Linked DNA regions of Saccharomyces cerevisiae S288C. The gene in region 2 interacts genetically with the main gene of each other region. Each region holds a gene or a part of one and is shown on either strand. Other genes may lie near its edges.

Region 1 (4,200 bases), on a different chromosome or scaffold from region 2:
CAGATAGATTAAAAGAGGTTATCATGGATGAAATAGGTGACAATGTTTCATCGCTATCCGTATCAGAAGAAAAGCTCAGTGGAATAATTTTAATACAGTTAAGCTTACAGGATTTGGGTACTTATCTACTGCACTTATACGGGTTAAGGGATGATGTGCTTTTATTAGATATTGTAGAAGAATCAGAATTGAAGAACAAACAACTCCCTGCAAAGAAGCCGGATATCAGTAAGTTTTCCGCACAGTTGGAGAATATTGAACAGTATTCATCAAATGGCAAGCTTCTTACATATTTTAGAAAACACGTGAAGGATACGTAAATATATTGCACTTAAAATATACATAGTATTAATAATCATTTTGCATTTTCCATGCTGATTTTTCACGCAGGTTTTGAGAAGCAACTATGAAATATTGAATTTCATTTACACCATCGCATTATATTAGTTCAAACTAAACCTTTTTTTTCTTGCGGACAGGCAAAATATTAATACCTGAGTTAGTTTTCATTCCATTGTGTGTTTTTACAAAGGTCTTTTCGTTACAAGAGGGCACTATTGCTAAGTTTGGGTTGATATTGTTAATAATAGCACCCACATTCTCAGAAGACCTTTGTGAAATCTGAGATGCAGTGCAAGATGAAATTGAACCTAAAGGTGCCTTCTCTGAAAGAGTTGGACTTATAGATGCAGCATTGTTCCTTAAGGCATTCATTTCTTTTGATTTGACAGTCTCTGTCACAGATATTTCCTCCGCTTTAACATTCAGTTTCATAGACTTTTGTGTATCTTGCCTTATATCCCGAATGACTTCTGGTTCCACCTCCATCGTTAACGGGATGACTTCCCTTCTTCTTTTCACAGCAATTTGCGTTGATATTCGAGGAGCTTTCTTGAATTTTTTTGGATTTGTGGGAACTTTGTTTTTCCATGAATTTCTCTCTTTAGTGGAGGTTTTAATCAAATACGGTTTTCGGAGCGGCTCAGCTACGATAGCAAACCGTGTCATTCCCTTTTGTGATTGATGATCGCTCAGCAGTACTATAATGGAACCACCGCATTGCTGCTCTCTCTTCTTTAGGCGTCTCTCCCTTATTTCCTCAACGGTTATTTTTTCTTCTTCTTCGTCAGAGGAGCTTGCGTAATCTGGAATAAAAGTTCGATCGATTCGAGTATATATCTTGGGCCAATCTTTGCCACTAACCAATTTCAACAATGAATCACTTGAGGCTGGCCTTCTAGCTAAATTGCGGCTTTTTTTTTTCATAGATTCAAATTTATGTAACATTGAATCAATCAGCTCTTTAGTTTGGTAACGTTTAGTCTCCATTTCATTCTCGTCAGTGGGGTCATTTATTTTAGTAACCTTCTGTAATGTTACTTCCCAATTCAACATACCCAGTCTGTCTGAAATTAATGAAAGCCTGTCTGCTTCATTTTCACCATTTACGATGTCCGATTGAATCATTCTATTTTCTTGCTTCAACATTTTCTTGTGGTAAGGCTGATACGTGCTATCAGGAAGCAAATCATCAGTTGGTTTTCTAATATTCTGGCTCAATTCATGATGTTCAATTTCTAGTGTCATCTTTGTAATTGTCTCTCTCTTTTTCTTGATCTCATCATCGACATTACTCATGAACGGCGACTTCATCACAGGTTTCTGACAACGCGTTTCGTCAACATGCTCATCTACAGTAAAGCAGGACTTAGATTTCCTTAGATGTCCAGCATTTGGGTTTATCCTGCTGACTAATCTTAACTTCCTTTTAGGGTTAATTTCGTATTCTTCTGTATCAAAATCGAATTTTTCAAATTCTCCATGACTATTTTTAATCTCAGACCTCAGCAATCTCTCAGAAGTATTATTTGCTTCTTCTATTGATTGAAAAATACCCATTGATGAACTCTCATATGCTTTTAATGCTGTAGAAATTTTCGGTTTTCCTTTTTAATCTTGCTACTTTTTGTTTTGAGATCGCTGAAATCAACTCGCGGGTTAGATTTTCTTATTTTTAAAAATGTAGAACGAACGATTATGGAAACAACAATAACCAAAAAGAAAGGGAAAACAGTACCGCTTCTACTAATCTGTTGGATACATTAGACAATAAGCTCTAGGAAGTATGGTATATCGTAACAGGTCAAAGAGCGTTTTATCTACACACAGCAAGAAGAGCGACGATAAGGCCCACTATAAATCACGTTCGAAAAAGAAATCAAAAAGCAGGAGCAAGAAGAGGTTAAGAATCTACTGGAGATACATATCTATTGTATGGATCTTATGGTTAGGATTAATATCTTATTATGAATCAGTGGTTGTGAAGAGAGCAATGAAGAAGTGCCAATGGTCGACTTGGGAGGATTGGCCTGAAGGCGCTGAAAGTCATAGGGTGGGTTTATTTGCAGACCCACAAATAATGGACGAATATTCATATCCTGGGAGGCCTCAAATAGTTAATTATTTTACAAGAGTGATTGTTGACCATTATCACAGGAGAAATTGGAAATATGTCCAGTATTACTTGGATCCTGATAGCAATTTTTTCCTAGGTGATCTATTTGATGGAGGGAGAAACTGGGATGATAAGCAATGGATTAAAGAGTACACACGATTCAACCAAATATTCCCCAAGAAGCCACTGAGAAGAACGGTCATGTCTTTACCAGGTAATCACGATATTGGTTTTGGAGACACAGTTGTTGAATCGAGTTTACAGAGATTTTCTAGTTACTTTGGAGAAACTTCCTCCTCATTAGACGCTGGAAATCATACCTTTGTACTTTTAGATACAATTTCGCTTTCTGATAAAACAAATCCGAATGTCTCGAGGGTTCCTAGACAGTTTTTGGATAATTTTGCAATGGGTTCACATCCGCTTCCTAGAATTCTTTTAACTCACGTTCCATTATGGAGGGATCCAGAACAGCAAACGTGCGGTCAGCTACGTGAATCCAAAGAACCTTTTCCTATTCAGAAAGGGCACCAGTACCAGACAGTTATAGAAAACGATATATCACAAGAAATTTTAACGAAAATTCAACCAGAAATATTATTTTCCGGGGATGATCATGACCATTGTCAGATATCACACTCATATCCGTTTCAGGGGAAAACTAAAAATGCTCAAGAAATTACAGTAAAGTCATGTGCAATGAACATGGGGATCAGTAGGCCTGCTATTCAATTGCTCTCCTTATATAATCCTTCAGATTTGACAATGGTAAATGCCGGCGGAGAGTATGCATCAAAAACTTACCAAACAGAGCTATGCTATATGCCAGATCCCTATAAGGCAATCAGAATGTACCTATGGGGATTATTATTCTCTGCTGCCTTTATCGCATACATGCATTTTTTCCCAAAATCTTTTAATAATCGCGTAGCAACCATAATGAACAGAGTATTTACACGACCTGATGGTAACACCTCAGATTTGCCATTACCTACAAGTATTTCCAAATCGAAATCCAAAAAATCATTGACACATAGTAAATACGCTGTGAATGATACGCGTTCGATCAAACAATTTCTAGTTAATGCAATTGTCCTTTTTGTTTCTGTGATGCCCATTTTTATTTATTTTTATACTGTAGTCTAGACAGAATTACTGCTATTCTCTTCCAGGATCAAAATGCTTTGAAGGGAAACGTCTGGCTATTTAATATATGCGAATACACCTTATATACAGACAATGAACAAGAGATATAAATTATACCGGGTGTGGTATTACTATGCTCACCAAACAGTTTGCATAACCTCTACTGGATTTGCATTATGTTTTGTGGTCCAAGCTAAAACTGCAGGACTGGGCGTAACACCAATTACTTCACTATACGGGGACAAAAAAGAACACCTAGGTAAGTTGTTGGTTCCTTTAGTTTTATATCAAATTTAGCAAGTCATGACGGCAAATTTCTTTGTAAGCTTTGTTTAAAAGATGGATACAAAAGGACGACTTTCCTTTCAATCTTTCGTTTTTGCTTTTTATTATTCCATAGCAATATAGTGATCATAGTAGTGTAATTTTTAGAGTTTAAAAAACACGAAAGTAGGATGAAGTACAAAAGATTAACGAAAATACTCCATTCTCTTAACAACTCATACGTATATGAAGATTAAATTAATATGGAAGATAAATTAGACAGATACTACACAAATGTGCTTTCAAATGCTGAAAAGGATAAACACACAACTGTC
Region 2 (4,102 bases):
TTGGATTGCACCAATTATAGGCAGTGCAATTTTCGGTTCAGGTGTTTATTTCGTCTTTACCGGTGTTTTTGCGTATACAGTGGATGCCTATAGAAGATATGCAGCTTCTGGAATGGCTTGTAACACATTTGTGAGATGCATAATGGCCGGTGTCTTCCCTCTTTTCGGACTCCAGATGTACAAGTCAATGGGAGTGAATTGGGCCGGCTTTCTCTTGGCAATGGTGACCGTAGCGATGATTCCTGTCCCATTTCTGTTTACCAAATACGGTGCCCGACTGAGAGCCAAGTCGCCGTATGCATGGGATGATTGATTTTTTTGCATATTTTTTCCTTTGGATGTTGCATAATCTTTTCCCGCTTACGTCATTGGTGATAGATTGTTTCGGATCTTCAAAAGGCAACACGCATAGGCCAAAGAAAAAAGAAATTTTGCATTTTTTCATTTTTGCATATTCTCGCATGTTTTCTTTCTTTTTCTCTAGTTTTCGAATGTTTTTGGCTGCAATGTATATTGTATATAAACCATAAAGGTGCAAAATGCCAGATGTACGCGGCCAATCTTAATTTTCTAGTAAAAGTAGCAGCTAAATCTGAAACTCTCTAGCTTGTAATAAACGAAGGATGACTGTACAAATTCCAAAATTATTATTTTTACACGGCTTCTTGCAAAACGGTAAAGTTTTCTCCGAAAAATCATCTGGTATTAGAAAATTATTGAAGAAGGCTAATGTCCAATGTGACTATATTGATGCACCAGTCCTTTTAGAAAAGAAGGACTTGCCATTTGAAATGGATGATGAAAAATGGCAAGCCACCCTAGATGCGGATGTTAACAGAGCCTGGTTCTATCACAGCGAAATCTCTCACGAATTGGATATCTCAGAAGGTTTGAAGTCTGTTGTTGATCACATCAAGGCCAATGGCCCATACGACGGCATTGTCGGTTTCTCTCAAGGTGCCGCATTGTCCTCTATCATCACCAACAAGATCTCAGAGTTAGTTCCAGACCATCCACAATTCAAGGTAAGTGTAGTCATTTCCGGCTATTCCTTCACCGAGCCAGACCCAGAACATCCTGGAGAATTGAGAATAACCGAAAAATTCAGAGACTCATTTGCGGTAAAACCAGACATGAAGACCAAGATGATCTTCATCTATGGTGCTTCTGACCAAGCCGTCCCATCCGTCAGATCCAAGTACCTGTACGATATTTATTTGAAGGCGCAAAATGGTAATAAGGAAAAGGTGTTGGCTTACGAACACCCTGGTGGACATATGGTTCCAAACAAGAAGGACATTATCAGACCAATTGTTGAACAAATAACCTCTTCCTTACAAGAAGCTTCTGAATAAATCGTAGGTTGTTGCTTACCTGCTTTCTAGCTTTTTACTATCACACGCAGGGTGTGTGGAGTGAAATGCTGATCGAGTATGTATATATACATATAAGTACTTTGTATAGAATGAACCACAAGTTTGTAGCATCCTTTCTCTTCTCTTCCATCCTGCGTGCTGCTAACCCCGCCCGGCGCGAAAAATCCACCCGGGGTGCTTTAGCGTGGCTTACGAAGACCTTTTTAAACATACTTATACTCTTTCTCGAAGGAAGAAAATAATGCAGAAGAGAAACAGCAGAAAAAAAAGAAATCATATTAAATTTCAGAATCAGTCTCCTTTTGCTTCTAGTCATTTAACCATCAAACGCGTTTAACCGTTTAGAAAACCCTCTTCAACAACTATTTGTTTTGATACTAATATTAGCACATCTCTATTGCCATTTAACCACTAATTTTCCGTATAGCGTTTATGTTTGATGACGTCCCAAGAATATGAACCTATTCAATGGAGCGATGAATCCCAAACAAATAATGATAGTGTCAACGATGCGTATGCCGACGTGAATACCACTCATGAGTCGCGTCGAAGAACAACTTTGCAGCCAAACTCAACATCCCAGAGCATGATCGGAACATTGAGAAAATATGCTAGGTTCATCGGTCCTGGTTTGATGGTATCTGTATCGTACATGGATCCTGGTAACTATAGTACAGCTGTAGCAGCGGGTTCTGCTCATCGGTACAAGCTTTTATTTTCTGTCTTAGTTTCTAATTTCATGGCTGCTTTTTGGCAGTACCTCTGCGCCAGATTGGGTGCTGTCACTGGCCTAGATCTGGCACAAAATTGTAAGAAACATTTGCCCTTTGGACTTAACATTACTCTTTATATTCTGGCGGAGATGGCAATTATTGCCACAGATCTGGCAGAAGTGGTAGGAACCGCTATTTCTTTGAATATCCTTTTCCATATACCTCTCGCCCTAGGTGTGATACTTACTGTGGTAGACGTTTTAATTGTTCTGCTAGCTTACAAACCTAACGGTTCCATGAAGGGTATCAGAATATTTGAAGCTTTTGTTTCTTTATTGGTGGTTCTTACCGTAGTTTGCTTTACTGTTGAACTGTTTTATGCCAAACTGGGACCTGCCAAAGAAATATTTTCTGGGTTCTTACCCAGTAAAGCCGTTTTTGAAGGTGATGGGTTATACTTAAGTCTGGCAATTCTGGGCGCCACGGTAATGCCTCATTCATTATATTTGGGGTCAGGTGTGGTTCAACCAAGATTAAGAGAGTATGATATCAAAAACGGACATTACTTGCCAGACGCGAATGATATGGATAACAATCACGATAATTACAGGCCATCCTATGAGGCCATCAGTGAAACTCTGCACTTTACTATAACGGAATTACTGATCTCGCTGTTCACGGTGGCATTATTTGTCAATTGTGCCATTCTTATCGTGTCTGGCGCTACACTATACGGGTCCACTCAAAATGCTGAGGAAGCTGACTTATTTTCTATTTACAACTTACTCTGTAGTACTCTTTCCAAGGGAGCGGGAACGGTATTCGTGCTGGCATTGTTGTTTTCAGGACAGAGTGCCGGTATCGTGTGTACGTTGAGTGGACAAATGGTTAGTGAAGGGTTCTTAAATTGGACTGTTTCTCCGGCATTGAGAAGATCCGCCACAAGAGCGGTAGCCATCACGCCTTGTTTGATTTTAGTGCTTGTAGCTGGACGTAGCGGCCTCTCTGGTGCACTAAATGCTTCCCAAGTGGTACTTTCTCTCTTGCTGCCTTTTGTTTCTGCACCTTTACTTTACTTCACTTCAAGCAAGAAGATTATGCGTGTACAGCTTAACCGTACCAAAGAACTTTCAAGAACTACAGACAAAAAACCCGTGGCCGACCGAACCGAAGATGATGAGACCATTGAGCTCGAAGAAATGGGCATAGGCAGCAGCTCACAGGAGCGCAGCTTAGTTTCTCCTGCTCCAGAATACAAAGACATGAGCAATGGAATGATCGTCACCGTGCTCGCAATCATAGTATGGTTGATTATCTCCGGACTGAACTTTTATATGTTACTGGGCTTTACTACGGGCAAAGAAGTACACCTCTAATATAACAATTCTTTAGACTAGTATAAGTATACATTTTATCCAAGAATAATAACAGAAAATTCCAATCAAAAAGTTGGTGTTAGGCTATACTGATGGCCGTATCGCTCCATACGAGCCAATCAGGGCCCCGCGCGTTATTTCCGCCGCTTACAGCTTTCTTTGAATCTCCCTATGAAAAGGGACCTAATTGGTCCGGTCAAAGCATTAATAAAGATCAACAATTGCTCTTGCTTATCAAGGTGCCAGATCTCAAGGTTACCTCATTTCTTTACATTTCATCCACATTTTAGCACACTTATTTATTATTACAATTTGAAAAATTGTATCACTTCTGAGACTTAGTAGCGGAGATAAACAGCCGAACAATTGTATTTGACACATAAACTAATAAATATACAACAATGTTATCAAGGGCCATATTCAGAAATCCAGTTATAAATAGAACTTTATTGAGAGCCAGACCTGGTGCTTATCATGCAACTAGATTGACTAAAAATACGTTTATTCAAAGTAGGAAGTATTCTGACGCACATGATGAAGAAACCTTTGAGGAATTCACCGCAAGATACGAAAAGGAGTTTGATGAAGCCTATGATTTGTTTGAAGTGCAAAGAGTGCTCAACAACTGTTTTTCCTA

What was found. Genes that interact genetically often act in the same process or in processes that back each other up.
Region 1: mutations in SMF2 (region 2) and CDC1 together harm fitness more than expected from each alone (negative genetic interaction), as found in Saccharomyces cerevisiae (3 studies listed by BioGRID, with this or other methods).

The regions. Positions count from the first base shown.
Region 1 is NC_001136.10:825,457-829,656, forward strand, and holds CDC1 (putative lipid phosphatase CDC1), read left to right. Parts: upstream 1-2,125; coding exon 2,126-3,601; downstream 3,602-4,200. Other genes in the region: cohesin-loading factor complex subunit SCC2, read left to right, coding at 1-320; SAS4 (Sas4p), read right to left, coding at 454-1,899; YDR182W-A (uncharacterized protein), read left to right, coding at 3,695-3,898; PLP1 (Plp1p), read left to right, coding at 4,129-4,200. UniProt on the Saccharomyces cerevisiae protein: Probable metallophosphoesterase which may participate in recombinational repair of double -strand breaks.
Region 2 is NC_001140.6:205,839-209,940, forward strand, and holds SMF2 (divalent metal ion transporter SMF2), read left to right. Parts: upstream 1-1,815; coding exon 1,816-3,465; downstream 3,466-4,102. Other genes in the region: YHK8 (Yhk8p), read left to right, coding at 1-313; FSH1 (putative serine hydrolase), read left to right, coding at 624-1,355; YHR050W-A (uncharacterized protein), read left to right, coding at 3,637-3,807; COX6 (cytochrome c oxidase subunit VI), read left to right, coding at 3,867-4,102. UniProt on the Saccharomyces cerevisiae protein: High-affinity manganese transporter involved in manganese uptake from the extracellular environment.